Linked DNA regions of Elephas maximus indicus. The protein of the gene in region 4 binds, or shares a complex with, the protein of the main gene of each other region. Links are inferred from orthologs where the notes say so. Each region holds a gene or a part of one and is shown on either strand. Other genes may lie near its edges. The genes, in order: RBMX2, SF3A1, SNRPD2 and SF3B5.

Evidence for each region.
Region 1: SF3B5 (region 4) and RBMX2 share a complex: the UniProt entries of both Homo sapiens proteins name them as parts of the minor spliceosome. The link is inferred for Elephas maximus indicus from reciprocal best matches to the Homo sapiens genes SF3B5 and RBMX2.
Region 2: SF3B5 (region 4) and SF3A1 share a complex: the UniProt entries of both Homo sapiens proteins name them as parts of the 17S U2 SnRNP complex. The link is inferred for Elephas maximus indicus from reciprocal best matches to the Homo sapiens genes SF3B5 and SF3A1.
Region 3: SF3B5 (region 4) and SNRPD2 share a complex: the UniProt entries of both Homo sapiens proteins name them as parts of the minor spliceosome. The link is inferred for Elephas maximus indicus from reciprocal best matches to the Homo sapiens genes SF3B5 and SNRPD2.

The regions. Positions count from the first base shown.
Region 1 is NC_064846.1:26,103,761-26,110,860, reverse strand, and holds the start of RBMX2 (RNA-binding motif protein, X-linked 2), read left to right. Parts: upstream 1-4,080; coding exon 4,081-4,145; intron 4,146-4,341; coding exon 4,342-4,457; intron 4,458-5,611; coding exon 5,612-5,663; intron 5,664-7,100. UniProt on the Homo sapiens protein: Involved in pre-mRNA splicing as component of the activated spliceosome. As a component of the minor spliceosome, involved in the splicing of U12-type introns in pre-mRNAs.
Region 2 is NC_064840.1:26,016,908-26,024,824, reverse strand, and holds the start of SF3A1 (splicing factor 3A subunit 1), read right to left. Parts: upstream 3,017-7,917; 5' UTR 2,996-3,016; coding exon 2,933-2,995; intron 1-2,932. Other genes in the region: CCDC157 (coiled-coil domain-containing protein 157), read left to right, coding at 3,297-3,342. UniProt on the Homo sapiens protein: Component of the 17S U2 SnRNP complex of the spliceosome, a large ribonucleoprotein complex that removes introns from transcribed pre-mRNAs.
Region 3 is NC_064829.1:103,947,131-103,954,704, reverse strand, and holds the start of SNRPD2 (small nuclear ribonucleoprotein Sm D2), read right to left. Parts: upstream 3,006-7,574; 5' UTR 2,924-3,005; coding exon 2,922-2,923; intron 809-2,921; coding exon 629-808; intron 1-628. Other genes in the region: QPCTL (glutaminyl-peptide cyclotransferase-like protein), read left to right, coding at 3,738-3,944, 4,435-4,578, 5,670-5,951. UniProt on the Homo sapiens protein: Plays a role in pre-mRNA splicing as a core component of the spliceosomal U1, U2, U4 and U5 small nuclear ribonucleoproteins (snRNPs), the building blocks of the spliceosome.
Region 4 is NC_064819.1:214,617,799-214,623,890, forward strand, and holds SF3B5 (splicing factor 3B subunit 5), read right to left. Parts: upstream 1,254-6,092; 5' UTR 1,125-1,253; coding exon 864-1,124; 3' UTR 507-863; downstream 1-506. UniProt on the Homo sapiens protein: Component of the 17S U2 SnRNP complex of the spliceosome, a large ribonucleoprotein complex that removes introns from transcribed pre-mRNAs.

The DNA.
Region 1 (7,100 bases), on a different chromosome or scaffold from region 4:
TCAATGGCACTTTATCAGGGATGCCTTCCTTGACCAAACACGTTTTATAAAATAAGAACACTCCGTCACTCTCTATCCCTTTGCCTTGCTTTATTTTTCCTTCATAGCATTTATCAACTTTAGATGTATGTGTATATGTGTATTGTCATTCTTCTCCAACAAGAATGTAAGCTCCATGAGGGCAGGGACTTTGTTTGCCTTGTTTACTGTTATAACCCCAGCACCTAGAACAGTGTCTGGCGCATAATAGCTGCTCAATGAATACTTGTTGAAAGAATGAATAAAAGATAAAAGCAAAAAAAGAAAGGTCATAATCCATCTGCCAAGATAACGTGGCATTTAAAAAAATATCTGGATAAAGGTAAGAAAATTCTAACAGTATAGAAAGGTCCAAAGGGAAAATAAAAACCTCTTTTTCTACTACCCTCATCTGTTTCCCTCAAAAACAAAAAAACCCGGAAATCCATTGCCATTGAGTTGATTCTGACTCATAGAAACCCTCTAGGACAAAGTGGAGCTGTCCCATAGGGTTTCCAAGGGACACCTGGTGGATTCGAACTGCTGACCTTTTGGTTAGCAGCCTTAATGCTTAACCACTGCATGAAACCAGTTGCCATCGAATCAGTTCTGACTCCTGGCGACCCCATGTGTGTCAGAGTAGAACTGTGCTCCATAGGGTTTTCAGGTGCTGATTTTTCAGAAGTAGATTGTCAGGCCTTTCTTCCAAGGTGCCCCTGGGTGGACTCAACTGCCAATCTTTCAGTTAATAATTGAGTGTTTAACCATTTGCACCATCTAAGGACTCCTAAGGTAACCATAGTTGTGTGTGTTTTTCAACTTTATTAACCAATTATTGTATTGGGTATAAGTTATGTGTGCAGGAAAGTGCTTGAGGCTTGAGGTGCTGAGAGGTTATAAATGCAGAGCCTTTGCCTTCCAGGATCTCATGCTCTTTCTGGGAAGAGTGCATAAAGAGTTCTGTAGTGAAGCAGAGTTCAGAAGTGGGAGCCATCACTGTGGGCTGGTAAGGTCAGGAAAAGTTCCTGCTGGAGGGACAACTTGATCCAGGTCTGCAGCTTGGGCAGGTTTCAATCAGACAGAGAGGGGGCTGGCTCTCTCAGGTATATGGGGCTCTTTCAGCAGAGGTGTCCAGGTTGGGTAATGAAAGGGGCCCTCGAGGGGAAGGCTCAAAGTGGAGCCTGACTGAAGTCGAGGGCCTGTGTCAGGGAGTGATGAGAGAAATCAAGACTAGGGGCTGGTATGAATTATAAGAGTACTGAGAGAGCTAAGAAGCATGTGATAATCACTGGGAGTAGGATTGTAGCCTGAAGATGTATGTGTTACAGACACTGCAGTGGTACAATTATTAGGACTTGGCGGGGCAAGGTTCTTACCTAGTGCCGCTGTAACAGAAATACCACAAAAGGGTGGCTTTAAAGAACAGAAATTTATTTTCTCACAGTTCTAGAGGCTAAAAGTCCAAATCAGGGTCTCAGCTGTGTTGATTTCTTCCCTTCCAGTAGCCCCAGGCGTTCCTTGGTTCCTTGGTGATCCTCACATGGCATCTGTCTTCCCCCATGTGTGCATGCCTCTTTGTCTATCTGCTTTTTTTTTGAACTCAATGATTAAATTTAGATCGGGTTCAATTTAGAACTCCCCCTGCTCAGGTAGGAGCCCAGGTGTGTAGTGGTTAAGCGCTCGGCTGCTAACCAAGAGGTCGCAGTTTGAATCCACCAGCTGCTCCTTGAAAACCCTCTGAGGCAGTTCTACTCTGTCCTATAGGGTCGCTATGAGTCCAAATTGACTCCAGGGCAATGGTTTTGGTTTTTGGTTCTACTCGGCATGACCTAATTAACATAACAAAAACCCCTATTTCCAAATAGGATTACATTGCAGGTATAGGGGTAAAGATTCCAACACATTTTTTTTTGGTGGGGGGACACAATTTAATCCATAACAAATGGGAAGACTGAAATATGAGAACCATTTTTTCACCCTGGGCAACCAGGAAAATGGTGATAGCATTGCCCAAAATAGGGAAAGCTGTTTTGGGGTGTGGTTTGGTGGTGAGAAGTAGGGAGCTGACTTTGGCTAGACAAATAGTTCAGTCTTTCTTTTAATGTGGGGACTACTTCAGCTTCCTTAGCATTGCCCAAGAAACTAGAGCTGAGTTCTGCATACAGTGGGTCTTAAATAAATGTTGGCGGAGATCACTGATAACCACCTTGGATGGCAAACCCTGGTCGTCTTCTCAGGCATTAAGTTCAGGGGGTCTTCTGGACCCCCATTGCCTTTCAACTCACACTTACAGAAATCACAAGGCATTATCTTACCTACCAGTTCTACCAATGGCAAGCACATCCATGGAGAATCTGCCTTTCTTGCTTCTTTATTTACTTCAGGTTCTCCTAAGGTGACCAACCATTCCAGTTTACTCTGGACTTTCCAATTTTAGCACTGAAAGTCCTGTGTCCTGGGAAATCCCTCAGTCCCAAGCAAACTGGGATGATTGTCAGCTCCCCCAGCTTCAGAATACTTCTGCTGAACCCACCAGCTGGATAGCAACTGTCTTCTTATGTTCTCCTCAACCAATATCACCCTTCCCTTTGGTTGATTTAGTCACCTTTTCTGTTCTAGTTTCCTTCTGAATGCTGATGACTGGGACAGGTGTAGCCCCAACTCTCTCATTTCATAGTCACTTGAAGAAGTCAACCAGATAATGCTACATGCTAGTTTACCACTTTGCAGTGGCTACTTCAACCCTACAACTAAGCAACCTGAGATTCCTAGAGGTAGATAAACCCGTATGCAATCTGTCACTGTTTAGTTTTTATTGCCAAGAGAATTCTACAAAGTTAATGAATAGCTGGGTTGGGATGAGGGAGGGGACACAGACACCGGATGTATGAGGAGATGCTGTCATGGATGGGCAGCCACTGTTCTGCTACTTGGCAGGACATAGGTACATGGTGAGCCACTTGAGAATACAGTTGTCATCATCATCAAAATACTTTTATAAAGGGCCTAATATCTGACTCTGAGCTAGGCCTACACAGAGAACTACATTGCTCTGGACTTTCACTTTTAAAACATCATGGTCCAAGACCAGATTTTGATGTGGAAAGATGCAAATGGGTTCAAATAGTGTTATGACTAAAATCACACATCATATGCCACCATGTTGTCTACTGGTTCCTGGATACTTCTGGAGTGACATCTATTAGGCAAATATATCTTGTCTCCTCAATTATATTATTAATTCCTTGAGGGGAGAGGACCAGCCTTAAACTCCTTTCTACAGATTCTAGCTGTACAGGACAAATATAGATGCTCAGTAAGCACTGATGAAATAAACCTCACCTGGTGGGTAGAGGCAGAGTACCTTTCAAGCTAATTAATTCCTTTGAACTTCAGTTTCTTTCTCTATAAAATGGGGATGATCGTATTATCTACTCCATGGGGTTGTTGTAAAGGAGAGACACGTAAATTGCTCAGCACATGATCTGGCATTGTTTAGCGCATTATCTGCTCAATTGTTAGCTCTTACTTTAACAACATTAATTTCTGCCTCCCACTCAAATAGGCGAGACTATGAGAAGGGTAAATGTAGCAGCTCTCACACAAACAGATTCAATTCAGCCTGTGGAGGCACAGTGGTCCATTGCCTATGCATTGGCATATTTTTTTTTACTTTTCTGCCATACTGCTGAACAAGAATACTAGGATGTGTGTTTGTGAGAGATGGTCTGGGAATGAAGGCCCGAGTGGGGGCTTGGACTGGGAGCGAGGGCTGGACAAATGTCGCCACATGGGGCACCTTTTTCATTCTTCATTCAGTAAATTTTTATAGCTAACCCAATCAGTGTGGGATTCTGTGACAAGCCAGCCTAGCACTCTTGCCCCATTTCACAGACAGATGGCGCAGGAGACTAGAGAAAAACTCCTTCCGGGAAAACGAAGCACACGGAGCTAGAAAAATCGCTTTCACAGTCGTGCGCAGGCGCCACGCCCCTGGCGCGGTCGAGCTTTTCCGGCGCATGCTCCGCCGCCTCCAATGAGCGCGAAGCGCCCGGGCTGCGCATGTGCCGCGCAGCCTCACCCGGAAGACTAGGTTTCGGTGCAAAGCGGGGACCCACGAAGATGAAGTAAGGCCCGACTTTCTTCTGAGGAAGCGGGAGCTGCCCGCCGGGAGGTGGACCACGGGGTCTGGGATGGTAGAGCGTCTGCGGGGCGGAGGGGTGAGAGAGGCGCGGAGGCTAGAGAGTCCAGTCCCCCTAGTTTTGCTCTCCCTTAGCTCAGCCCGGACCTCACTTACTTGTCTCTCTTCCACCCTCTCTGCAGCCCTTTGACTAAGGTGAAGCTGATCAACGAGCTGAATGAGCGGGAGGTCCAGCTTGGGGTGGCCGATAAGGTTTCCTGGCACTCCGAGTACAAGGACAGCGCCTGGGTCTTCTTGGGTGAGTCTTCTGGCTGCTTCCTGACATTTCAGCATTCTAGCTCTTCGCCCCTGCCCACATTTCATCATCCGCTCTTACTGACCTGCTGTCTGCTGTTAATCCGATTTTATATCTTTTTTCGCCCTCATTTCTAGTTTGCTTTCCCTGCCAAATCAATGCTCGTGAGCGTTCCTGTTATTGTGTGCCATTCACTTTCCTGAGAGCCTTTCACGGGCTTCTCAGAGATCATTTCTGTACCCCCGCCTCATTCCCGTTATACAGCTGAGGAAACTGAGGCTCAGAGAAATTAACCGGCTTCCGTAAGGTCACATAACTAGCAAGTGGAAGCAGCCAACCGCCCTCCCACCCCAAACTATCACCTTTCAAAATTCATTTTTCTTATCTAATTAGCTCCTGAAGAAACCCTGTTGGTGTAGCTGATAACCAAAGCGTCGGCAGTTCGAATCCGCCAGGCGCTCCTTGGAAACTCTACGGGATAGTTCTACTCTGTCCTATCGGGTCGCTATGAGTCGGAATCGACTCGACGGCACTGGGTTTGATTTTTTTTGTTTGTTTAATTAGCTCCTACCTTCTGTCCATGGCCATATCACCATCCCTAGATTCACTTTATGTTGTAACTATTAATTGTGCTAAGCACTTCATATACACTGTTTAATTTGTGTAACAATCCTGTGAGATAAGTACTAGTATCTCCATTTTACAGATGAGGAAGGAAACATGGGGGGCGGGATTTATTTCCTATGAAATGCCTAACAGTTATCTTTATAATCCTTAGTGTTTGTGTGGGTGGGGTTAATATGAACATATTTAAGCTGATTTTGGATCTTAGCTATAAAATTGTGGGTAAAGAGCAGATGAATTCAAAATAAGTTTGTGGAAACAGTTTTGTACTGGAAACTATCTGCTTCATGAATAGAATTTTGGGTGTGAGGACTGAGCTATCTGATCAGCCTGGTTAAGGGTGACACACACCTTTAATCGCTTCTTTTTCTGTACTTCTGCACCTTATACGTACTTCCATCTTTGCATCAGACTGTACGTTCTTTGAGGGCAGGGCCTGTGGCTTACTTTCCTTTGCACCCCAGTGCCTGGCTCAGTGCATGGTATGTAATAGACACTTGGTAAATGTGCTGAAATATGGTTTCCTCTTCTAGGAGGGCTTCCTTATGAACTGACTGAAGGAGACATCATCTGTGTGTTCTCACAGTAAGTCCCCTTTCATTTCCTGCCTTCTTTTTCTGTTGGTGTTTTCCTATTGATTTTATAAGAGCCCTTCACGTATTAAGGATATTAACTCTTTGTTATAATGCTTTATCATGTGTTATGTTGCCGTGGACTCATTTTTAAATAATTTGATATGTTATAATACGTGACCATCATTATTCTTTCTTGTTGCTCAAATTGTTCCAATTTGAGGGTCACTAGGAACCCTGTTGGAGCCCTGGTGGCACAGTGATAAAGAGCTCGGCTGCTAACTAAAAGGTCGGCAGTTCACATACACCAGCCGCTCTTTGGAAACCCTCTGGGGCAGTTCTACTCTGTCCTATAGGGTTGCAGTGAGTTGGAATCAACTTGAAGGCAATGGGTTTGGTTTTTATTGGATAGGAGCCCCGTCAAGCCAGCTTCTGTATTCTTTTTTTTTTGACTTCTTATTATAACTTTTATTTTGAAATAATGTCAGACTTAAAATAGGAAAGTTGTAGGGTAGTATAAAGAACGTCTACCTGTATCCCCTCCACCCAGATTCCCCAGATGTTACCATGTTATCCCATTGGTTTTGTCATCATTTCTCTATCCAAATCCGTCGCCACTGAGTCGATTCTGACTCATAGCGAGCCTGTAGGACAGAGTAGAGCTACCCCAGGGTTTCCAAGGCTGTCATCTTTACAGAAGCAGACTGCCACATCTTTTTTCCCACAGAGCAGCTGGTGGGTTCGAACCATCGATCTTTCATTTAGCAGCCAGGTGCTTAAACACTGTGCCAGCAAGGCTTCTTATTTCTCTCAATATGTATATACAATTTTATTCTGAACCATTTGAAAGTCACTTGCAGACATGGTGCTCATTTATCCCTAAATTCTTCAATATATATTTCCCAAAAAGTAAGGACATTCCCTTGTTTAACCTCAGAACAGTGATCAAATTCAGGAAATCAACACTTTGCATAATATTATTATCTAATCTATAGACTTTATCCAGTTTCTCCAGCTGTCGTGATAATGCCCTTTATAGCGAAAAAAAAAAAAAAGTTACTTTCTGGCCGTTTAATCTGTTAGATAAATTATAAATACGTTTTCCTAGTTTGTCATTTGCCTCTTGACTTTGCTTATGATTTGTTTTGCTCTGCAAAATTATTTTCCTTTTATTATTTTTTATTTCCTGCATTCATTTCTTTATATGTTTAAATTATATGGTAACATTGGTTTTTTGAGGCATGTACAGTTGTGTGAATTTTAGTACATGTTTAGATTTGTATAACTGCTCCCACAATCAGGATGAATAACAGCTCCATCCACCTAAAACTCCCTCGTCTTACTCCTTTCTGCTCATGCTTCAGTCTTCCCTCCTCATTTTTATTTGGTTACATTTATCAGCCTTTATTGTTTCTGGATTTTGCATCATAGTTAGAAAGCATTTCTCCTC
Region 2 (7,917 bases), on a different chromosome or scaffold from region 4:
GTTGCAATACTGAAGGATTCCATGAGCAAAATACTGAATGATGCAGGAAGATGAAAGGAATACACAGAGTCACTGTACCAAAAAGATTTAGTCAACACTCAACCATGTCAGGAGAGAGCATATGATCAAGAACCGATGGTACTGAAGGAAAAAGTCCAAGCTGCACTGAAGACATTGGTGAAAGACAAGGCTTCAGGAATTGGCGGAATATCCATTGAGATGTTTCAACAAAGGAATGTACACTGGATATGCTCGCTCATCTATGCCAAGAAATTTGAAAGAAGCTACCTGGCCAACCGACTGGAAGAGATCCATATTGGCCCATACCAAAGAAAGGTGATCCAACACAATGCAGAAATTGTCAAACAATATCATTAATATTCCACGAAAGTAAAATTTTGCTGAAGATTACCAAAAAATGGTTGCGGCAGTACGTCAACAGGAAACCGCCAGAAACTCAAGCCAGAATCAGAAGAGGACATGGAGCAAGGGATATCACTGCTGATGTCAAATGGGTCTTGCTGAAAGCAGAGAATACTAGAAAGATGTTTACCTGTGTTTTATTGACCATGTAAAGGCATTTGACTGTGTGGATCATAACAATTATAGACATTTCGAAGAACAGAAATTTCAAACACTTAATTGTGCTCATGTGGAACCTACACATAGACCAAGAAGCAGTTATTTGAGCAGAACAAGGGGATACTAAGTGGTTTAAAGTCAGGAAAGGTGTACATCAGGGTTGTATCACTTCACCATACTTGCTCAATCTGTATACTGAGCAAATAATCCATGAAGCTGGACTATATAAAGGTGGGAGCATCATGACTGGAAAAAGACTCATTAACAACCTACCATATGCAGATGACACAACGTTGCTTGCTTAAAGTGAAAAAGACTTGAAGCACTTACTGATGAAGACCAAAGTCTATAACCTCCAGTATGGATTGCACCTCAACATACAAAAACAAAAATCCTCAGAACTGGACCAATAAACAATATCATGATAAACACAAAATACTGAAGTTGTCAAGGATTTCATTTTACTTGGATCCACAATCAACGTCCATGGAAGCAGCAATCAAGAAATCAAACAACACATTGCATTGCGCAAATCTGCTGCAAAAGACCTCTTTAAAGTGTTCAAAAGCAAAGATGTCACTTTGAGGACTAAGATGTGCCTAGCCCAAGGCAACCCATGGTATTTTCAATCAACTCATATGCCCGCAAAAGCTGGACAATGAATAAAGAAGACCAAAAAAGAATTGATGCCTTTGAATTACGGTGTTGGCAAACAATATTGAATATACCATGGACCATCAGAAGAACAAACAAATCCATCTTCGAAAAAGTACAGCCAGAATGTTCCTTAGATGCAAGGATGGCAAAACTTCGTCTCAGTGTTTCAAACTTTGGGCATGTTATCTGGAGGGACCAGTCCCTGGAGAAGGACATCATGCTTGGTAAAGTAGAGGATCAGCCAAAAAGAGACAGACCCTCAATGGGATGGACTGAAACAGTGGCTGCAACAATGGGCTCAAACATAGCAACAATTGTGAGGATGACACAAGACCTGGCAGTATTTTGTGCTACTGTACATGAAGTCACTATGCGTTGAAACAGACTCAACAGCACCTAACAGCACCATGGTAGAAGAACAGTCCGTCACTATCCTGCTTTTCTTTTTTGTCTGTCTACAAAAAGTTCAAATCCTCAGAATTATACTGCCTGCCACCACCCTCCCAACCCTATACTTCAACCACAACTATCTATTTAACCTTGACCAGGGCATCATCGGCTGCCTACTTTGGTGCCTTTGCACTTATTATCTTATCTGATGTTACTTTATTTTTCCCCAGTGCCTGGTTATGTTCCCTGTTGTATTCTGAACCCAAGGCAGTAGATACTAAGTGCTCGATAAATGGATAAAAGCTGAATTAAGAATACTATCTCCCTTCTCCAAACTCCTACTCATCCTTCTAAAAACAATGTATCTTTCACCCCTTGGGCTTCACCTTACTTAACCCCCCCTCTACCCCATCAAAGCAGCGTGGGTTAAATTACCATTTTTGTCCCTGTTACATACTCCTATTGCAGGGCATAGACCACCATGCTGCAATTACCCATGGGCATTCTCCCCCTTAGCTGATTAAGAGCTTTTCAAGTGGTGGTGAACTGGGTAATTTATGGTGACAAAGACAATAAATATTTGTTGAGTTTTCATGTATATGTCTCTCTCATTAGTCTGTGAACTCCCTAAAGCAGGAGCTGGGCCTCATTCAGAGCCTGGCACACTATCTTGTAGATGCTGACAATTAACATCTAAAAGTGGGAAGTACAGACTGGAAAATTAGGGATTACTGGGCATAAGGCTTGGAAATCCTGGTGGCGTAGTGGGTAAGTGCTACGGCTGCTAACCAAAAGGTTGGCGGTTCAAACCCACCAGGCGTCCCTTGGAAACTATGGGGCAGTTCTACTCTGTCCTACAGGGTGGCTATGAGTCGGAATCGACTCGACGGCAACGGTTTGGTTTTTTGGTTTGGGCATGAGGCTGGCAGGGAAGAGGGGACGGGGGGGGGGTGGGCTGCTGATCAGTGCTTCTCAAGATTTTATGTGCATATGAATCACCTTGGGTGCACGTTAAAACGTAGGTTCCTATTCACACGGGTTGGAATCAGATATTCCCGGAATTCTTATAAGCTCGCAGGTGATGCTCATGCTGCTGGTACGCGGACCACACTTTTAAGAACCACTGTTGCAACATTCTCTTGGTTACCAAAGAGCAGCGCGGCACGGGAAGCGCGCTGCCTCCTGGGACTTGTAGTCCCTCCAAAACGGCCGCTTCTTCCTGCACGCGTGAGGAACACCCGCGCCGGGGGGGAGGGCCCAGGCCTAGGCTGGGGCTACCGGTCGAGGTACGGGGGTGCGGTACCTGTTTGGGCTCGGTGGCCACGGGCGGCGGCGGAGGCACCGCCTGCACGGGTCCAGCCGGCATGACTGCGACGCTCAGGGCTGCCAGTCCGCCTTGGTTTCGGTCAGCAGTGCTGCGCCAAGACACCTTCCCTCACGGACGGTACGACGAGTTCACAAGATGGCGGCGGAGACAGCCGAGCGAGTAATCTTCAACCAGGCGAGCCTGACGCACTTCCGGGACCGCCCCTCGGCGTGGCGTGGCTTCCCCTCCCTCCCCCGCTGGTACTGGTTTCACGCGACGCCGTTGCCATGGCAGCGGTTCGGGCGCCTTACCTGGGGTTTCCGGGGATCCAGGGAGCCGCAGGCGTGCCAGGGCCAGATACATGAGCCGGCCAGATTCAGGGGCTGAGGCCACGAAGCTGAAGACAGGTGAGATGTCCTACATCTCCCCGCCAGCCGCTCCCCGCACACACCGTGCCTCCCTGGCCCCTCATTTACTCCACGCCTGTTTCCCGCTCACTTAGACCCGCCTCCCAAGGCCCCTCAGACCGCCTCCTCAAAACTTCGCCTCCCTGCTGCCTTAACCCTTCTTATTCGCTTTAGACCGGCATCCTCCAACCCCCTCAACCCCCTTTAAAGTCACAGACCCTAACTCTCTCTGGTCTCTTTCTCGCGGCCCGCCTTTTTTAGGTTCCACTCCCTTCTCTCCATGCCCTCCTCTCTCCATAGGCCCGCCCTCAAACCCCACTGGTGAGTCCCTGCTGACCACGCCCTTCGCTCCCTCGAATCCTGTCCCTTTCGCTTCCCCTCCCGAAGCCCCCTCAACCCTGGCTCCTTTCCCCTCAACCCTGGCTCCTTTCCCCTCCCTCCTGGCTCCAGAATGCGGGGAAGGGGTTCTGAGCAGTGCCTGAACCTGTTTTCTCACCTGTGAAATAAGGGTGATAGATGGTCTCCATCATACACACACTATAGCTGGGTTGTGTCATTGTTGTTATAATTAATCGAGAATACAAACGACAGCTAGGATTTACTGAGCATTCACCATGAGCTGGACCCTGTGCCCAACACTTTATGTACATTCTATCATTTATCCTTTTTAGCAACCGATTTATAGATGAGGACAGTGGAGTTCAGAGTTAGCACAATGGGAATCCAAACCCAGGCCAGACTTTCTCCTCTACAAGTGCAATTTGTTATTCCTGTCTTCACTGGTCCCCTCAGTGTCTCCAAGGATCCAGGCAAGGTTCCTTCAGTGTCTCCAGGGATCCAGGCAATTAGCATTCCCCGAGTTAGAGACTGACAGCTGGTTTTAGCGATTCCAAAGTGTTTGCACGGTGGTGACCTTGATTCTGACCAAGGTAGGCGTAATCTTTACCAATGACGTAGGGTACTAGAACTCAGAGAGGGAAATGGGGCTTCAATATTGAATGGAAGGGGAGGCAAAAGCTTGCATTGAGGTCATGGAAGCTCCATAGACACATCCAAACTCCCTGAGGGACCCAGCTGCTGCTGGGCTGAGGACTGTGGGGACTGTGGCCTCAGGAACATCTAGCTCAATTGGCATAACACAGTTCATAAGGAAAATGTTCTACATTCTACTTTGGTGAGTAGCGTCTGGGGCATTAAAAGCCTGTAAGTGGTCATCTAAGATTGGTCTCACCCCTTCGGGAGCGAGGGAGAATGAAGAAAGCTAAAGATACAAAGGAAAGATAAGTCCAGAGGACTTAATGGACCACATTTACCACTACCTCACCAGACCCCACAACCATCACTGACTGCTCTCACAGGGATCACAATAGAGGGTCCTGAAAAGAGCTGGAGAAAAATGTAGGAAAAAATTCTGACTCAAAAAAGACCAGACTTACTGGCCTGACAGAGACTGGAGAAACCCTGAGAGTATGGCCCCCAGATACCCTTTTAGCTCAGTAATGAAGTCACTCCCAAGGTTCATCCTTCAGCCAAAGATTAGAAAGGCCTATAAAACAAAACAAGACCAAAGGGGCACACCAGCCCAGGGGCAAGGACTGGAAGGCAGGAGGGGACAAAAAAAGCTGGTAATAGGGAACTCAGGGTCCGGACAGGAGAGTGTCATGGGGTTGTTAACCAATGTCATAAAACAATATGTGTACTGTTTAATGAGAAACTAATTGGCTCAGTAAACCTTCATCTAAAGTACAATTAAAAAAAAAAAAAAAGCTTGCCTTGAGCCAGGGGGAGCTGAGGAGACACAAGTTAGCTGCTGCTCCTACCTATTGGCAGTGCTGGCTTAATTGGTGACTATCACTTTTGTGGCCATAGGTACAGTGGATGGTGCAGGGCTGCAGCTCCAGGCTGAGGAATTACAGAGAAAATCCTTATCAAGTCTGCTTTACTTGACATGATTCTCAAACCATGCGTATATTTGCATATCCCCAATTTTCAGAAAAACAATATAAAGTAATTTTAGGTGTTTTTCAATGTTATGTTTTCCTATTGTATATTCTCGTTGCTTTGCCAGAATCTAAGGGGCATTGATACCTAAGATGCCCCCAAATAGCAGCTATAGTGATTTGAAGGTGGACAGATTGGTGTTTCATTGTGTCTTCAAGAAGCAAGCCCATGAGTTCCAGGCACTTTGCCACCTGCATATATCTCTGCCCAAGTTGGGGCTTCTTGCTTCTTTCATTTGTCTCCTTCCCCACCCCCCACCATTATGGGAGGGAAACCCAGAATGTTTCAGTCTGTTTTTTTCCATTGGTGTTTTCCTCACTCCTTAGGGACATAAAATCTCTTGAGCAGCAAAATCTCATGACAGGTCAGTGCCTGTGAGGGATGTGGCCCATTCTAGAACAGTGCATGCATATGCCTGCCAAGCGGCAGACGCACATGGCCTTCCCAACCGTGTAGGTGAAGCCCATGGAGCTCACAGACCCAAGGCTGACCCACAAAAGAGACCCTCAGACATGGATGGTGGGTCCTTGAGGACATGGCTCTATGTACCCTCCTCAGTCCCCAGTTCTTCACGTGGTGCCCGGTGTGTAGTAGGTTCTCAGTCCACAGTTGTTAAATGAAGAGACAGTGTCGGATCCTCCACACCTGCACATTCCAATACTGTGGCCACCAGCCCATGTGACTGTCAAGCATTTAAATTGGTGGCTGGTCCAAGTTGAGATGTTCTATATCAAATACACACTGGCTTTTCAGGCTTAATAAAACAAGAAATGAAGAATATCTCCTTAATAACTTTATATTGATTTCATGTTGAAATGAGAGTATTTTGGATTGTTGTTGTTATTGTTGTTAGGTGCTGTTGAATTGGCCTGAACATAGTGACACTGTGTACAACAGAACAAAACACTGCCTGGTCCAGCGCCATCCTCACCAGCGAAGCTAAGGTTCAGCCCGTTGTTGCAGCCACTGTATCAGCCCATCACATTGAGGGTTTTCCCCTTTTCCACTGACCCTCCACTTTACCAAGCACAACGTCCTTCTCCAGGGACTGATCCCTCCAGATAGCATGTCCAAAGTATGTAAGAAGTCTTGCCATCCTCACTTCTAAGGAGCATTCTGGCTGTACTTCTTCCAAGACGGATTTGTTCGTTCTTCTGGCAGTTCATGGTATATTCAATATTCTTCACAAATACCATTAATCAAAGGTGTCAATTCTTCGGTCTTCCTTATTCATTGTCCAGCTTTCACATGTATATGAGGTGATTGAAAGTACCATGGCTTGCATCAGGCACACCGTAGTCCTCAAATTGACGTCTTTGCTTTTGCACACTTGTCTTTTGCAGCAGATTGGCCCAATGTAATAAGTTGTTTGGTTTCTTGAGTGCTGCTTCCATGGGCATTGATTGTGGATCCAAGTAAAATGGAATTCTTGACAACTTCAGTATTTTCTCTGTTTGTTATGATGTTGTTTATTGGTCCAGTTGTGAGGATTTTAGTTTTCTTTATGTTGAGATGTCATCCGAACTGAAAGCTGTAGTCTTTGATCTTCATCAGTAAGGACTTCAAGTCCTCTTCCCTTTTCAGCAAGCAAGTTGTGTCATTTGCATATTGCAGGTTGTTAATACGTCTTCGACTAGTCCCGATGCCACGGTTTTCTTCATGTAGTCCAGCTTCTCAGATTATTTGCTAGGCATGCAGTTCGAATAAGTATGGTGAAAGGATACAACCCTGATGCACACCTTTCTTGATTTTAAACCATTCAGTATCCCTTTGTTCTGTTTGAATGACTCTCTCTTGTTCAATGTACATGTTCTGCATGAGCACAATTAAGTGTTCTGGAATTCCCATCCTTCACGATGTTATCCATAATTTGTTATGATCCACTCAGTCGAATGCCTTGCATAGTCAATAAAACACAGGTAAATATCTTTCTGGTATTCTCTGCTTTCAGCCAGGATCTATCTAACATCAACAATGCTATCCCTTGTTCCACATTGTCATGGATTGAATTGTGTCCTCCCAAAATATGTGTTAACTCAGTTATGCCATGATTCCCAGTATTGTGTGATTGTCCACCATTTTGTCATCTGATGTGCTTTTTCTGTGTGTTGTAAATCCCGTCTCTATAGATATTAATAAGATGGGATAATCTTAATTATGTTGATGAGGCAGGACCCAATCTATAAGGTTAGATTTTGTCTTAAATAACTCTCTTTTGAGATATAAAAGAGAAAAGCGAGCAGAGAGACATGGGGACCGTATACCACCAAGAAACAAGAGCCAGGAGAATAGCGCATCCTTTGGACCTGGGGTCCCTGCGCTGAGAAGCTTCTGGTCCAAGGGAAAATTAATGACAAGGACCTTCCTCCAGAGCCGACAGAGAATGCTTTGCTCTGGAGCTGGTACCCCGAATTTGGACTTCCAGCCTCCTAGGCTGTGAGAGGATAAATTTCTGTTTGTTAAAGCCATCTACTTATGGTATTTCTGTTATAACAGCACTAGAGAACTAAGACACACATCCTCTTCTGAATCAGATTGAATTTCTGGTAGTTGCCTATCAATGTACTGCTGCAA
Region 3 (7,574 bases), on a different chromosome or scaffold from region 4:
TGTTGTTTATCATGATATGTATTTACATGCTTCCCTACCTACATACAGCACAAATTCCCTGAGGGCAGGTAACCTGTCTATCTTAGTCACTGCTGTATCCCTGGGACCTAAAACAGTGGCTGGCATGGATGAGTTCCTGTCAATCATGTATTAAATGATTAGGTACTTCACATGCATTAAGTCACTGAATCTTTGAAACCACCATGATTACTGCCACCAGTCTCTGGGTGACACAAAACAGTTAAGCATTCAGCTGCTATCCAAAAGGTTGAAGGTTCAAGTCCACCAAGAGGTACCTCAGAAGAAAAGCCTGGCAATCTACTTCTGAAAAACCAGCCACTGGAAACCCTATGGAGTACGGTTCTACTCTGACACACAGGGAATTGGCCATGAGTTGGAATCGACTGATAATTGACCTGCTGAGGGTCAGGTGGCTACAAACAGAGTTGGGATGTGAACCCAGGTGAGGCAGCTCCTGAGTGCATGCTCACAACCACTGCTCTGGTGGGGCAACGAGAGGCAGCCAGCCCTTGGGGCTTCTGAGAAACCTTGTCTTTAGGGTTCTCAGATTGGAGGTAGGCTGCTCTCCAGGCCTGGACAGAACACCTCCCGAGACCTAGGCACTCACCTGTCGAAGGCCTTCACACGGCCCAGGAGCTTCTTGTTGTTGCGACAGTTGATGAGCACTTGGGTATTGTTTTTGACTGACTGCGTGAGCACGGAGAGGGGCCCAGTGTTAAACTCCTCCTCCTCTCGCTTCTGCAGCTCTTCCGGGGTCATCTCACTTTTGGGCTTGTTGAGGAGGCTCCTGGATGTCAAGCACGAGACATGTGAGTGAGAGGGGCTGGGGCCAGAGCACGGGGGAATCACAGCCTAACCTTCAGTGGCTCCCCCAGCCTGGCCTCAACACACCCACCCTCCTATAGCTCAGTCCTCTCTCTTAGCATCACCATTTGGATGCGTGCTATGGACTAAATTGTGTCCCTCCAAAATATGTGTTGGAATTATCACAGGAACTCAGCTGCTAACCAAAACGTCAGCAGTTCGAGTCCACCAGCCACTCACTGGAAACCCTGTGGGGCAGTTCTACTCTGTCCTGTGAGGTTGCTATGAGTCGGAATTGACTAACAGCAACAGGATTTTTTTCTTTTTTTAATATCTGGGGATGTGATCATGTTTGGGAATAGGATTTTCATTTTGATGTTAATGAGGCCCTATCCTAAATTTAATCGGTTCTGAGTGATAAAAATAGCCAATTAGACACATCACCAAGGAACTGAGGAACACAGGGGCTACAGATCATCCACCAAAGGACTTCTAGCCTCCTGAGCTATGAGAAAATAGATTTCTGTTTTTTAAAGCCAACCACTCGCGGTACTTGTGTTACTGCAGCATGACCTAACTAGAACGATGCCTAATAGGCATTCCTAACATTGCATGTCCCAGGCTGTGCAGCAACCACAGCTCCTCCATCTCTGTTGATGGCAACTCCATTCTTCTGGGCAAAAAACTCAAATGTCAACTTAGCTCCTCACTTCCTCTCCTAACCTACATTCCATCTGTTAGCAAATCCTGTCATCTGCCTCTAAAATACATGCAGAATCTGACCATTTCTTACCACGGTTACCACCCTGACATAAACCTCCAGCATCTCTCCCCTAGAATCTTACTGGTTTCCCTTCCTCAACCTCTGCTCCCTGGCAGTCTGTTCTTCACAGAGCAGCCCAACGGCTTGTGTTAAGACTAAGTCATTCTTCGAAATCCTTCCATGGTTCCCATCCCAGTGTAAACCTGATAAAAAAAAACCTGATGCCATCGAATCGGTTTCGACTCATAGTGACCCTACAGGACAGAGCAGAACTGCCACATCATTCTCCCTTGAAGTAGCTGAGAGCTTTGAACCACCGACTTTTTGGTTAGCAACGGCAGAGCGCGTAGCCACTGTCCTACTGGTGCTCCTTCATCTCAGTGTAAGAAGTAGAAATGCAGTTTTTGCAATGCCCTATATCTGCAACACCCCCATCCTGCTCCAGCCACAATGGCCTCCTGGGTGGTCTTTGAAGATATTAGGCAAGCTTTCAGTCTGGGGTCTCTGCATTTGCTTTTCCCCCTGCTTGGATCCCCCCCCAGATATCTGTGTGGTTTCCTGCCTCACTTTCCTCAAGTGTCATCTTCTCAATGTGGCCTTTTGTGCTAGTTATTAAGTTAGGCGTTCTTCATTTTTTTTAACCTGTTCTACTCTGAAACACATGAGACTGCCATGAATTGGGATCGACTTGATAGCCAACGGGTTTGGGTTTTTTTTTTTTATTGCTTCACCTAACACAACATATACTTTACTTGTTTACTATATTTATTGCCTGCCTTTCCCCTCATAAGCTGCACCCGGGAAGACATTTTTTCTGGGGGGAGGGAAGTTTCTATTTTTTTCACTGACACACTCCAGGTATGTAAAGCAGTGCCTGGTACGTAATGAGCACCCAATAGATATTCGGTGAGTAAAATCAGTCCCAGTGATCCAATATCCATAAAAGTCGCGAATCAGGCTGAAAAGCCGCATGTCTCTAGATCAAATCATCCAGCTAAGTCTCTCATCTCAAATCGTTACCCCTAAAAGGCCGCACTCGCCTCCTCCAAGTTCCTTAATCGTAGAACCACTTCCTCTTAGTATTTATTTCAACAAGACTAATTACCTGGGAAAGGTCCCAGCCCGTTATCTGATAAAGCAGTCCCCTCTCCCGAACTCATCTGTAAAAGGCCCCGTTCCCGTTCTCACATCCATCAAAAGTCCTCCATAAAATTTCTGCTTTTGCCCCCGACTCGTTATCAGGAAAGGGCCCTCTCACCCCCTTCCAACCGTTAATCGGCCAAATTTACACCCTCAACCCCACTCCCGCCGCCTAGTACGGGCCCGGCCTCACATGGTGCCGGCTGCGTTCTCAGGACACTCCTGTCTCCCCCGCGTTGCTTCTGCCTCTGAAAGGAGAGGCGGGACTTCCGCTTCCTGCGGCCCACTTCCGTCAGCGCCTGCGCAAACTCAAGCAGCGGATGGGGCGTGGCCTGTTGCTATAGCGATCCCCGCTAGCTGTGCTTAGTGATGGGATAAAAGCCTTGCTCAGAGGTTCGAGACCACTCAGAACCATTCGGGGCAAATCTTCACAACGATGAAGGGAAAAACAAAGGTGGTCTGACTCGAACCATTTCGCCGTATAACGGGATAGGCTAAAGGAAGGCAGCGAAACAGCGTTTCCAAATACCCGCCGGTCCGGCCTTCGGGGGCGCGGCCTCCGCAAAACCAATCCGCTCCTGGCTGCAAGGGTGGGTCCCGCCCCTTTTTCCTCAGGGACGGTTCATTTTCGCGTCCATCAATTTCTTCGACTCAGCACAACCAATCCGTTGCCTACATCCGGAAGGGGCGCGGACCTGCACCGGAGAGATCGAAAGTTTTCCAAGATTGAACCCTTGCCATTGGTTTCCCCTCCTCTGCCGAGGCGGAGCCTAGCCCTTTCGGTCTCCCTTTTGGGCTGTGCAACGCTCCGGGGAGCCAATTCTGCCAAGGGAGACGGGGAGGCGTGTCCTCGGACCGAGAGTTCCCATTGGTTCCTCTGCTCGCCAGGGTGGGATAATACCGTCGCTGTGGTTGCTCATTGGTCCTCCTACTGCATGGGGGGCTGGTCTTGGCTGGGCCTGAACTGGCGGCTCCGCGGTCCAGGACCGGGTTGCCTGGCAAAGCTGCCATGCGTTCCGGGAGCCGTGGGCGGCCCCGGCTACGGCTCGGGGAGCGCTTCTTGGAGCCCCCCTCACCGCCCAGGCGCCGCCTACTACCGCGGGCGCGGCTGTTGCCCCTGCTGCTGCTGGCGTTGGCCGTGGGCTCAGCGTTCTACATCATCTGGAGCTGCTGGGACCACAGCACCGGGGAGCTGCCGCTGGGCCAAGAGCTGCGGGTGAGGCCAGGCGCGGGGCCCGGGCTCCTCGGGGGCCCTTATTCCCCGCCGACCCTTCTCCAGGGTCTCGGGTTGACTGACGTGGCCTTATGGTGTGGCCCTAACCGCAGGTGCCACGGTCTTCGTCTTTCGAGCGCATGCACCTTTCCATCGGAATAAGGTTCCGGGTTTGTTTTGTCATTCTGGCTCCCCCTTAAGTGGAAGGGCCTGGAGTGGTAAGACTGAGCGTTGGGCGACTGAGCTCTAATCCTAAATCAGCTGCCTGGAAGATAACCTTCCTCTCCCTGGCCCTTGATTTCCCCATCAGGATTGGGGTGGGCTGGACCAGATGGACATCAAGGGACTTTTTTCCTGGGGCTAGGATTTATCCTAGAAGCCCCTGATGCTTATGAAGAGGTACCAGGCTCCTAGGGGGAAGCGGCGCCTGGGGTAGGGTCGGAGTGGGAATTGCTCTCATGTTCTGCACTTCTCTACCCTTCCCCCTACCAAGGCCCCGGTGATCGGAAGCCTCTCTGAAGCTCGGCTTCGGAGGGTGGTCGGGCAACTGGATCCGCAGCGTCTCTGGGACGCTTATCTGCGTCCCTTGTTGGTGGTGCGGACCCCCGGCAGTCCCGGCAATCTTCAAGTCCGAAAGGTACAGGACTGAACCTCCAAGCCCTAAGCTCCACAGCCCGCAGGGGAATGAATTGGGAACTGAGCATCGTGCCATGATCACAAAGCAGCTAAGGGTCAGAGGTGGGGCTCTGACTGGAGATGATCTGACTCCAGTCCCAATAGAATGTACTACCCCCATCAAAAGCTTACTATATGCCAGGCACAAGCAACAGCCCTACGAGGTGGGTACCAATAAATATGATCTTTATTATGCAGATGGGGAAATCGAAGCCCAGAGAGGTTGGACACTTTGCCCAAGTCCTATAGCTAATAAGTGGTTTGTAGTTATTAGTTGCTGTCTGTTCCAACTCATGGCAACCCCATGTGTGCAAGGTAGAACTGCTTTATAGGGTTTTTAAGGCTGTGACCCTTCAGAAGCAGATCTCCAGGCCTTTCTTATGAGGTGCCGCTGGGTGGGTTCAAACTGCCAGCCTTTTGGCTAGTAGTTGAGCGCCTAACTGTTTGTGCCTTCCAGGGACTCCTAATAAGTAGTAGACTTTCAGTTCGAAGCCATGCAGGCTGAGTCCAAAGCTGGTGCTGGAACATCTCTATATCACCTCCCAGAAAGTATTGAGAGTCATTTGTCTACTTCCTGGGTTGGAATCCCAGTGCAGCTGTTTAAAAGTCTGACCTTTGACTAGTTTATTTATTTTTTTAAAATCGTGCTTTAGGTAAAATTTCACAGCTCAAGTTAATTTCTCATACAAAAATTTATACACGTATTGTTTTGTGACATTAGTCACAATCCCCAAGGACTAGTTTCTTAATCTGTTTCCTCATTTTCCTCATCTACAAAATAGGGCCCATGACAATCCTTACCCTGTAGAGCTCTGTAGGGTTCAGAGAACACGGCCTGGCACACGTTGAGTGCTATTTAAGAGTAAGCTGTGATTAATCTTGTTGGCATCTTGCCTGGCACCCAGAAGGTCCTTGGTAGAAATGTGTCAAGGGAAAGTTTAAACATGAGACTTGCTAGTTGGCCCAACAGGTCTGCATGGCTTAGGGTACATGCGCCTTATCTTGGCCTCCCCTGAGGCCTTGTCCACCCTCCTACCTCTCTTTTGTCACTAGTTCCTGGAGGCCACCCTGCGGACACTGACAGCCGGCTGGCATGTGGAGCTGGACCCTTTCACAGCCTCAACGCCCCTGGGGCCGCTGAACTTTGGCAATGTGGTGGCCACGCTGGACCCGGGGGCTGCCCGCCACCTCACTCTCGCCTGCCATTATGACTCAAAGCTCTTCCCACCCGGGTCAACCCCCTTTGTGGGGGCCACGGATTCGGCTGTGCCCTGTGCCCTTCTGCTGGAGCTGGCCCAGGCCCTTGACCTGGAGTTGAGCAGGGCTAAGGAGCAGGTGAGGTACCAGGGCTGGGGGTGGGGGGATGCCTCCACCCTGGTCCAAGCCACCACCCTCTCTTGCCTAGGTGTCTGTTACCCTTCTGGTCTTCCTGCTTCACTCCACGTACAGAGCCACAGGGATCTTTCCACACCCTGAATGTCAGACCTGACCCTCCTCTGCCCAAAACCTCCCCATGGCTGCCACCTCATTCAGAGCATAAGCAGAGTCCATACAGTACCCTAGAGGTGTGCCGTTACCTGTCTGATCTCATCTCCCACTTCTCACCCCTCCACGCTCCACTCTAGCCACACTCGCCTCCTCTGTGCTTCTCAAACGCACAACGTTCCCTCCTACCTTAGGATATCTGCACTTGCTGTTTTCTTGGCTGGCTCCCACAGCAATCAAGTGTAGTGATTACAGATGGGGCTCTGGGGTCAGACAGATCCGGGTTCAAATCCTGCCTCTGCCTCTTACTAGCTGTGTGAACTTGGGTAAGTGGCTTCATCTCTCTGAGCCTCAATTTTCCTGTCTGTAAAATGGGCATGGTGGTAATCATAATAGGAGTATCTACCTTATGCACTCAGGGATTAAATGAGATGAGGATCATAGTAAGTCTGCAGTAAGGGGTAACTAACATTCATTCTTGCTGGGAGGATCGGTGCTTTATCCTCTGGCCCCCTGTACTCCTCTGATGTATGCTTAGAATGTCCTTTTCTAGATATCTTCCTGGCTGGCTCCCACCCTTCATTCAGGTATCTACTCCAATGTCACCTCCTCAAAGAGGCTTCCTAACCACCCTGAAATTTTTCCCTTTCACTATCTCATGTTTTGTGGTGCTTCATGCCGATTTGTTTGTCTGTTTCCCCAAATGCAATAAGCTTCCTGAGGACAGAGACTTGGCTTCTTTTGTTCCCTCCCTGCTATATGCCCTGGGCCCAGGATATTGCCTAGCATAAAGTAGGACATCAATAAAAATTTATGGAATGAATGAATAAAATCATTTATCTCCACATGCTCCTCCCTGTTCAAATTCCTTCCATGGCTCCCCAGTGCCCTGTAACAGAGCTCAAGCTCATTTGCCTTTGCTAACCCCTCCAGCCTCCTCTCAAATGTCTCTGGCCTCTTCCCTGGTCCCAGACTTGCCCTGGAATATTCTTCCGTCTGCTTCCCCATCTACTTTTGCCGGGCCAGCCCCCACTTACCTCAGTGTAAACATCCCTTCCCCAGACTCAATGCCGTCCCCAGGCTAGGTCAGCCCCCCACCCCTTCCTACTCTCTCTCAGGACCTTGTAGTTCTCAAAAGCATTTGTCCCAACTGCAGTTATCTACACCCACTCCTCACTTATCGACATGGTTAGGTTCCAAAGACCAGGTCATCATGCGAAAATTGGCATTGTGTGAAAATGGAGGATGACCACATCACATCACCAAATGGAGGATGACTACATTGGTACATAACTGCCAAACCACTGAAAATCATGGCCCAGCCAAGCTGACACATAACCTTAACCATCACAGCCAGTGTTACTCTTGCCTTGCACTTGGGCATTCCTTACTGCCAGATGTATGTTGTTAATGTGCAAAAGAGTTGGATAGTGGATTTTTTACTGTCGTCATAAACGTGAAATATCAGATATC
Region 4 (6,092 bases):
TTTTTTCTGTTTGGTAGGCTTTGGGTTTGTTTGGCCTCCTCCCTACCGCTCTTCCCCGCTCCCTGTATAATGTAAACCACAAAAGCCTGGAAAAATGCCTGACACGAAGAGCTCAACAAATATTTGCCGAATGTTGAATGAACGAAAGAGCTCATTTGCTAGCTTGTCAGTCCTGACGACAAAGCGAAAAGTCCCAAAAGATGATGCAATTTACACAGAGAGAGAGAAAGACAATGACAGCTAAGACTTCAAAAATGGGAGAAAAGGGTGGGATACACTGATCACAAACCTCAATACTGACAGTATTATGGCGGTAGAAAAAAATCGTTGAGAAAATTCGGGATGAGGGAACATCATAAAATATGCGCAAGGCGGATTTAAGCGCCTGGCACTAAATGCTGGCCTTGAAATGCCCGTCATCTCCTGCTCGGCCTCCCAGGAAACCTTAGTCCCCAAAGCCCTCCCTGGGTCCCTCCACACTCGAACACATGTAGTCCACACCAAGAGAGTGAACAATTTCTAAACTTTATAGATAAAACGAAAACGGCAATCAAGTAGCCAAAAAACGAGCCTTCAAATCCCGTCTCGCTCCAGTACCGCCTCCCCTAACGCTTGCCGGCTCTAGGATCTTTCCACGATCCCAGTTCTCAGAAGTCCTGATTGTCTCCCACCGCTGTGTTCCGAAGGGTAAGCAGGAAGGCAGGTCAGGCAGGACGACCCTGGGTAACCATGTTTGTTCGAGGAAAGCGCGAGCAGCCGGAGTCATGGAAAATCGGTCTTCTTGGGGCAGGAATGCGCTGGAACGACGGGAAAAACGAGGAACGCTGGGAGATGTTCCCGCACAGCGGTGTTAATGCGGCGTCTCAGTTCTCCTCGGGCTTGTCCGCTGGCGGCCCGCAAGGCTGCAGCATCTTCTCCATCAAGTTGAAGCGGACTCGTGCCTTGCTCTCATTCTCCGCAATGGCGAAGTAGTTGAGAAGGTCGAAGTGGCCCATGTAGGAGCAGTACGAGTCCCGGTGCTGGTTCACCAACCACTCCCACTTGGTGGTGTCGGCGTGGCCGGTGCCAATGTACTTGGACTGCAGATGCTCCAGCTGGCTGTGGATGGTGTAGCGGTCCGTCATCTCGCCGTGTTCCCTTTTGATCCCGGGTCGGAGGCCACAAAACAGAAGTAGCTGCTCTGGGGTGTCAGGCCTGATAGACGGAAATCTCCGGACCCGCGCAGTCGCAAGATGATGGCGTCAGAGCGACGAAGCCGCGTTGACTCTTGGCCGTAGTGCTCAGACGGGGAAGCGGAAGCGTATTCTGCTACCTAATTGGGGTTGCCTAGGCGACAGAACAAGTGCCCCGCCCCTATAGGGACAGTCACGCCCCCTTCGTAGAGCGTTGCATGATGGTCCATTTAGTGGCTTTTGGCCGCGCCGTTTCACCTGGGGTCGTTGTTTGCTGGAACTGTAGTCCCCCTGGGTTCGTGCATGCAGGTTTTTGGGATCCCTTCTTGGTTATAAGAGGCCACGGGCGGCTTGGGGCTGGAGGAAATGGGGAACGCAAACTGGATAGCACTACAATGGACTCGATATAATTATGCTTTCGGAGTTCATGTGGCGGTACGGTAGCCCCTTTGCAGCCAGAGGTCGATCACCCTAAAGTCAGGAGATGCGAATTCTGGTCCCAACTCTGCCTCTTAATAAATTGTACGGATTGAGGGAATTATTTCAATTTTCAGGCCGCCGTTTCCTGCTTGATGACCAAAGTACAGTGCCAGTTCTGACACGTTCCGGCTTCCACACACAAGCTCCTCCTTCCACCCTAGCTTCTTATTTTGAGATCCTCCCTCCAACTCCTCACCCCATCCTACACGGCCCCAGCCTATACTTAATGTTACGTGCTGCTCGCGTCTCCAGTTCTTTGTACAAGCTGTTCTATTTGGAATGCCTTTGTTCTCTTGGCAAACACTTCTCCCTTTCAGTCAGCTCAAAAGCATCTCTTTGAAGCCTGCTCTGGCTACTCCAGACAGATGTAAACTCCTTCCTTTTTATATCTCGTACACCTCTTCTTTATTATCGCTTTATACTTTGATTTTTGGTTTAATAATGTTTCCTCGTGAGAATAGAAATTCCTTGAGAAAAGAATCCTATGGTTCTTTTATGATATTCCCATAGCCTAGCAGAATAGTTGGGAGAGATTGTAGTCTCAAAAAAACATTTGATGAAAGGGTAAACAACTGTATAACTAAATAGAAAAAAAAAAATAGAAGGAACTCTTTATTGGGAGAGATAACGAAAATATTTTTGTTCTGCTGTTTAAACTTTGTCATCACATATCATTTCTAAAGTGTAGACAATAATGTTTAGACAATATTATAAAGCATACCTTTGAGTTCACCAAGCAGAATTTTCAAACATTGCCATTTTTGTTATTATTTTGCCTTTGTTTGTTTTAAAGAAAACGATACAAATAAACTTCAAGTTTCTGAGTTCTTAATCTGTACACGTCAGGACAAAAACCAAACCAGCTGTCCTCTAGTTGATTCATGGCGACCCCAAGTGTGTCAAAGTAGAACTGCATTCCGTAGGGTTTTCAACGGCTGTGATCTTTCTGAAGTAGATATCCAGGCTTCTCTTCCCAGGCGCCTCTGGGCCCACCCGCCAAACTTCAGGTTAGCAGCCAAGCATGTTAACTGTTTGCATTTCCTAGGGACTCAACACTATTCTGAATTTAATCATTCCTGAGCCTGTTTTTCTATTGCTGAATGTTTTTGTATAGGTGTTAGTGTAACACATGTTGTAAAGTAAGGGGGAAAACCTCTGGATGGTGGCTGGGAGAAGCTATGCTGGCATTTCCACTTCTTCATGGCCCTAGTGCCGCTGCACTGACCACTGCACTGACCACTGCACTGACGGATAATATCAACATCATTACAGGGGCTGTCCACCAATCCCGATGGACCACGCCCCTGAACATTGCCATGAACATGCCCTGAAGAAGAACCCACCCCTCTTGTTTCCTCCCCATATATAAACCCCTGTGCCTGGAGATCAGAGAGGCGTCTTGGAGACCCAGGGTGAGATCCTTCACTTGGCCAAGCAGGTAAAGATTTTCTTCCTTCACTTTTGCCCAACTCGTGCCTCAGTGTCATGCCAAATGAAACCTAGAGGTCTGAAAACAAAAGCTTTACCTAAATGAAACTGAGTATGTATTGTTATGGAGCCTCTGGCTGGTGCAAACGGTTAATATGCTTTGCTGCTAACCCAGAGTTTGGCATTTCCAGCCCTCCCAGAGGCACCTTGGAAGAAGGCCCTGGTGATCTACTTCTAAAAAATCAGCAGTTGAAAACCCTACGGAGCGCAGTTCTACTCTGACACACATGCAGTTGCCATGAGTTGGAATCAAGTCCACAGCAACAGCTTTTTGCGTGTGCGTATTGTTATAAAAGTTGCTTCTTTTTTCACACTTCAGTATCCATGTTGATATATTTAAATTTAGTTCAAGTTTACTGCTGTGTAGTTTGCCACTGAATGGACATACTACAATATGTCCACTCTTTCACTAATGGACTTAGTTTATTTCCAGATTACTGCCATTAGAAACAATACTGCAATGAATATTCTTGTACGTATATTCTTAAACAGCTGAAGGAGTTTCTTTAGGGCATATACACAGGAATAAAGTCGCTAGGACATACAAATGAGTGTCTTCAAGCTTTGCTTGACACTGCCAAAATGCTCTCCAAAGTAATTATACCAATTGACTCTCCACCAGCAGAATGAGAATTCCTCTTGCTCCACGTTCTTTTCAATACTTGGTGTCATGGATTGAATTATGTTCCCCCCAAAAAGTGTGCATCAACTTGGTTAGGCCATGATTCCCAGTATTGTGGTTGTCCTCCATTTTATGATTGTAATTTTATGTTGAGAGCATTAGGGTGGGATTGTAACATCCCCCTCACTCAGGTCACCTCCCTGATCCAAGGTGAAGGGAGTTTCCCTGGGGTGTGGCCTGCACCACCATTTATCTCTCAAAAGATAAAAGGAAAGCGAAGCAAGCAGAGAGTTGGGGACCTCATACCACCAAGAAAGCAGCACCAGGAGCAGAATGTGTCCTTTAGACCAGGGGTCCCTGTGTAAATAAGCTCCTCATCCAGGGGAACATTGATGAGAAGGCTGACAGAAAGAGAAAGCCTCCCCCTGGAGCCGACGCCCTGCATTTGAACTTGTAACCTACTAGACTGTGAGAAAATAAATTTCTCTTTGTTAAAGCCATCCACTTGTGGTATTTTTGTAATGGCAGCACTAGATGACTAAGACAGTTGGTGTTGTCAGACATTTAAAAATTTTGTATACCTGAATGGTGGGTTGTCATTTCACTGTGGCTTTAATTTGCATATCCCTAAATTTTTTTTTTTTAATTACTAGGAAAGTTGTGTTACCAATCGCCAATCTGACACAATGGGTCCTTGTCTTTTCCCGAGTAAAAATACACGCGAAAGACCAACTTTATCTTCGGCAAGCTTTGTTTTGCTTGAGTCCAGTAAAAGAAGTCATTGGGGGACTAAGCCTCCACAAGGCTGACTTGAAAAGGGAAGCAAGGCTAGGGCTTATATGGGTTTGGTGGAGGCAATAAAGTAATGAATATTTAGTGGGCTTCTTTCACGGTACTTCTCAGTGCGCGCATCTGGAATCCAAGATGGAACCCACTGATATTCAAGATGGAGTCCTCTTGGCAGCCCTTGGCATCACTCATTATGGCATATAGCACAAGTGCACTGATCTTTGGCACTACATCACCATGTTTGGAGAGCTAAGAAAGGTTAAATCGCGGTCACACTTCGTTATGTGCATGCGGGAGCCTGTAAAGGGGGGGAAAAAAAGGAAGGGACTAGAAAAACACTAAGAAGGAGATAGTAATTCACAGGTTGTTTCAACCTTATGTTGACAGTGTGTGGTTCCTGTTTACCCAACTTGTAGATGGTAATCTTTTAACAGCTCTTTTGTTCTGCCAGCACAGTTAACCCTATCTGTCTCAGTCGAACATCTTCCAACTTGTTCTTTGGCCTATTGGGTTTCTGCTTCTGTGAACTACATATTCATATCCTTTGCTCATTTTCTTATTGGGATGTTTGTCTTTTTCTTACTAATTTTTAGGAGATCTTTATTTATTAAGATACTAGTCTTGCCAGTTATATGCAATGAAAGGATCTTCTCCCACTCTGTGACTTATCTTTACTCTTTTGTTGTGGTATCTTTTGTTGTACAGAAGTTTTTAAATTTTAAAGTAGTCAATTTATGAGTCTTTCTTTATGGTTTATGCTTTTCTCATTTGGTTTATTATTTGTTTTCTTCTGGTGCCTGATGGCTTCTTTTGTTGCTCACTTTCTATTTGTTCAAGTTGTAGGGACAGTTCTCTGCTTTTGGCTCTTTCTTCTTTTTGTATGTGTGCATTTATCGATATAAATTGGCCTCTGAACACTGCTTTTGCTGTGTCCCAGAGGTTTTGATAGGAAGTATTTTCATTCTCGTTGCATTCTATGAATTTCCTTATTCCCTCCTTGATGTCTTCTATAACCCAGTCTTTTTTCAGGAGGGTATTGTTCAGTTTCCAACTATTTGATTTCTTTTCCCTAGTTTTTCTGTTATTGATTTCTAGTTTTATTGCCTTGTGGTCTGAGAAGATGCTTTGTAATATTTCGATGTTTTGGACTCTGCAAAGGTTTGTTTTATGACCTAATATGTGGTCTATCCTAGAGAATGTTCCATGTGCGCTAGAAAAAAAAGTATACTTTGCAGCAGTTGGGTGGAGAGTTCTGTATAAGTCAATGAGGTCAAGTTGGTTGATTGTTGTAATTAGGTCTTCTGTGTCTCTGTTGAGCTTCTTACTGGATGTCCTGTCCTTCTCCGAAAGTGGTGTGTTGAAGTCTCCTACTATAATTGTGGAGGTATCTATCTGACTTTTCAATTCTGTTAAAATTGATTTATGTATCTTGCAGCCCTGTCATTGGGTGCATAAATATTTAATATGGTTATGTCTTCCTGATCAATTGTCCCTTTTATCATTATGTAGTGTCCTTCTTTATCCTTTGTGGTGGATTTAAG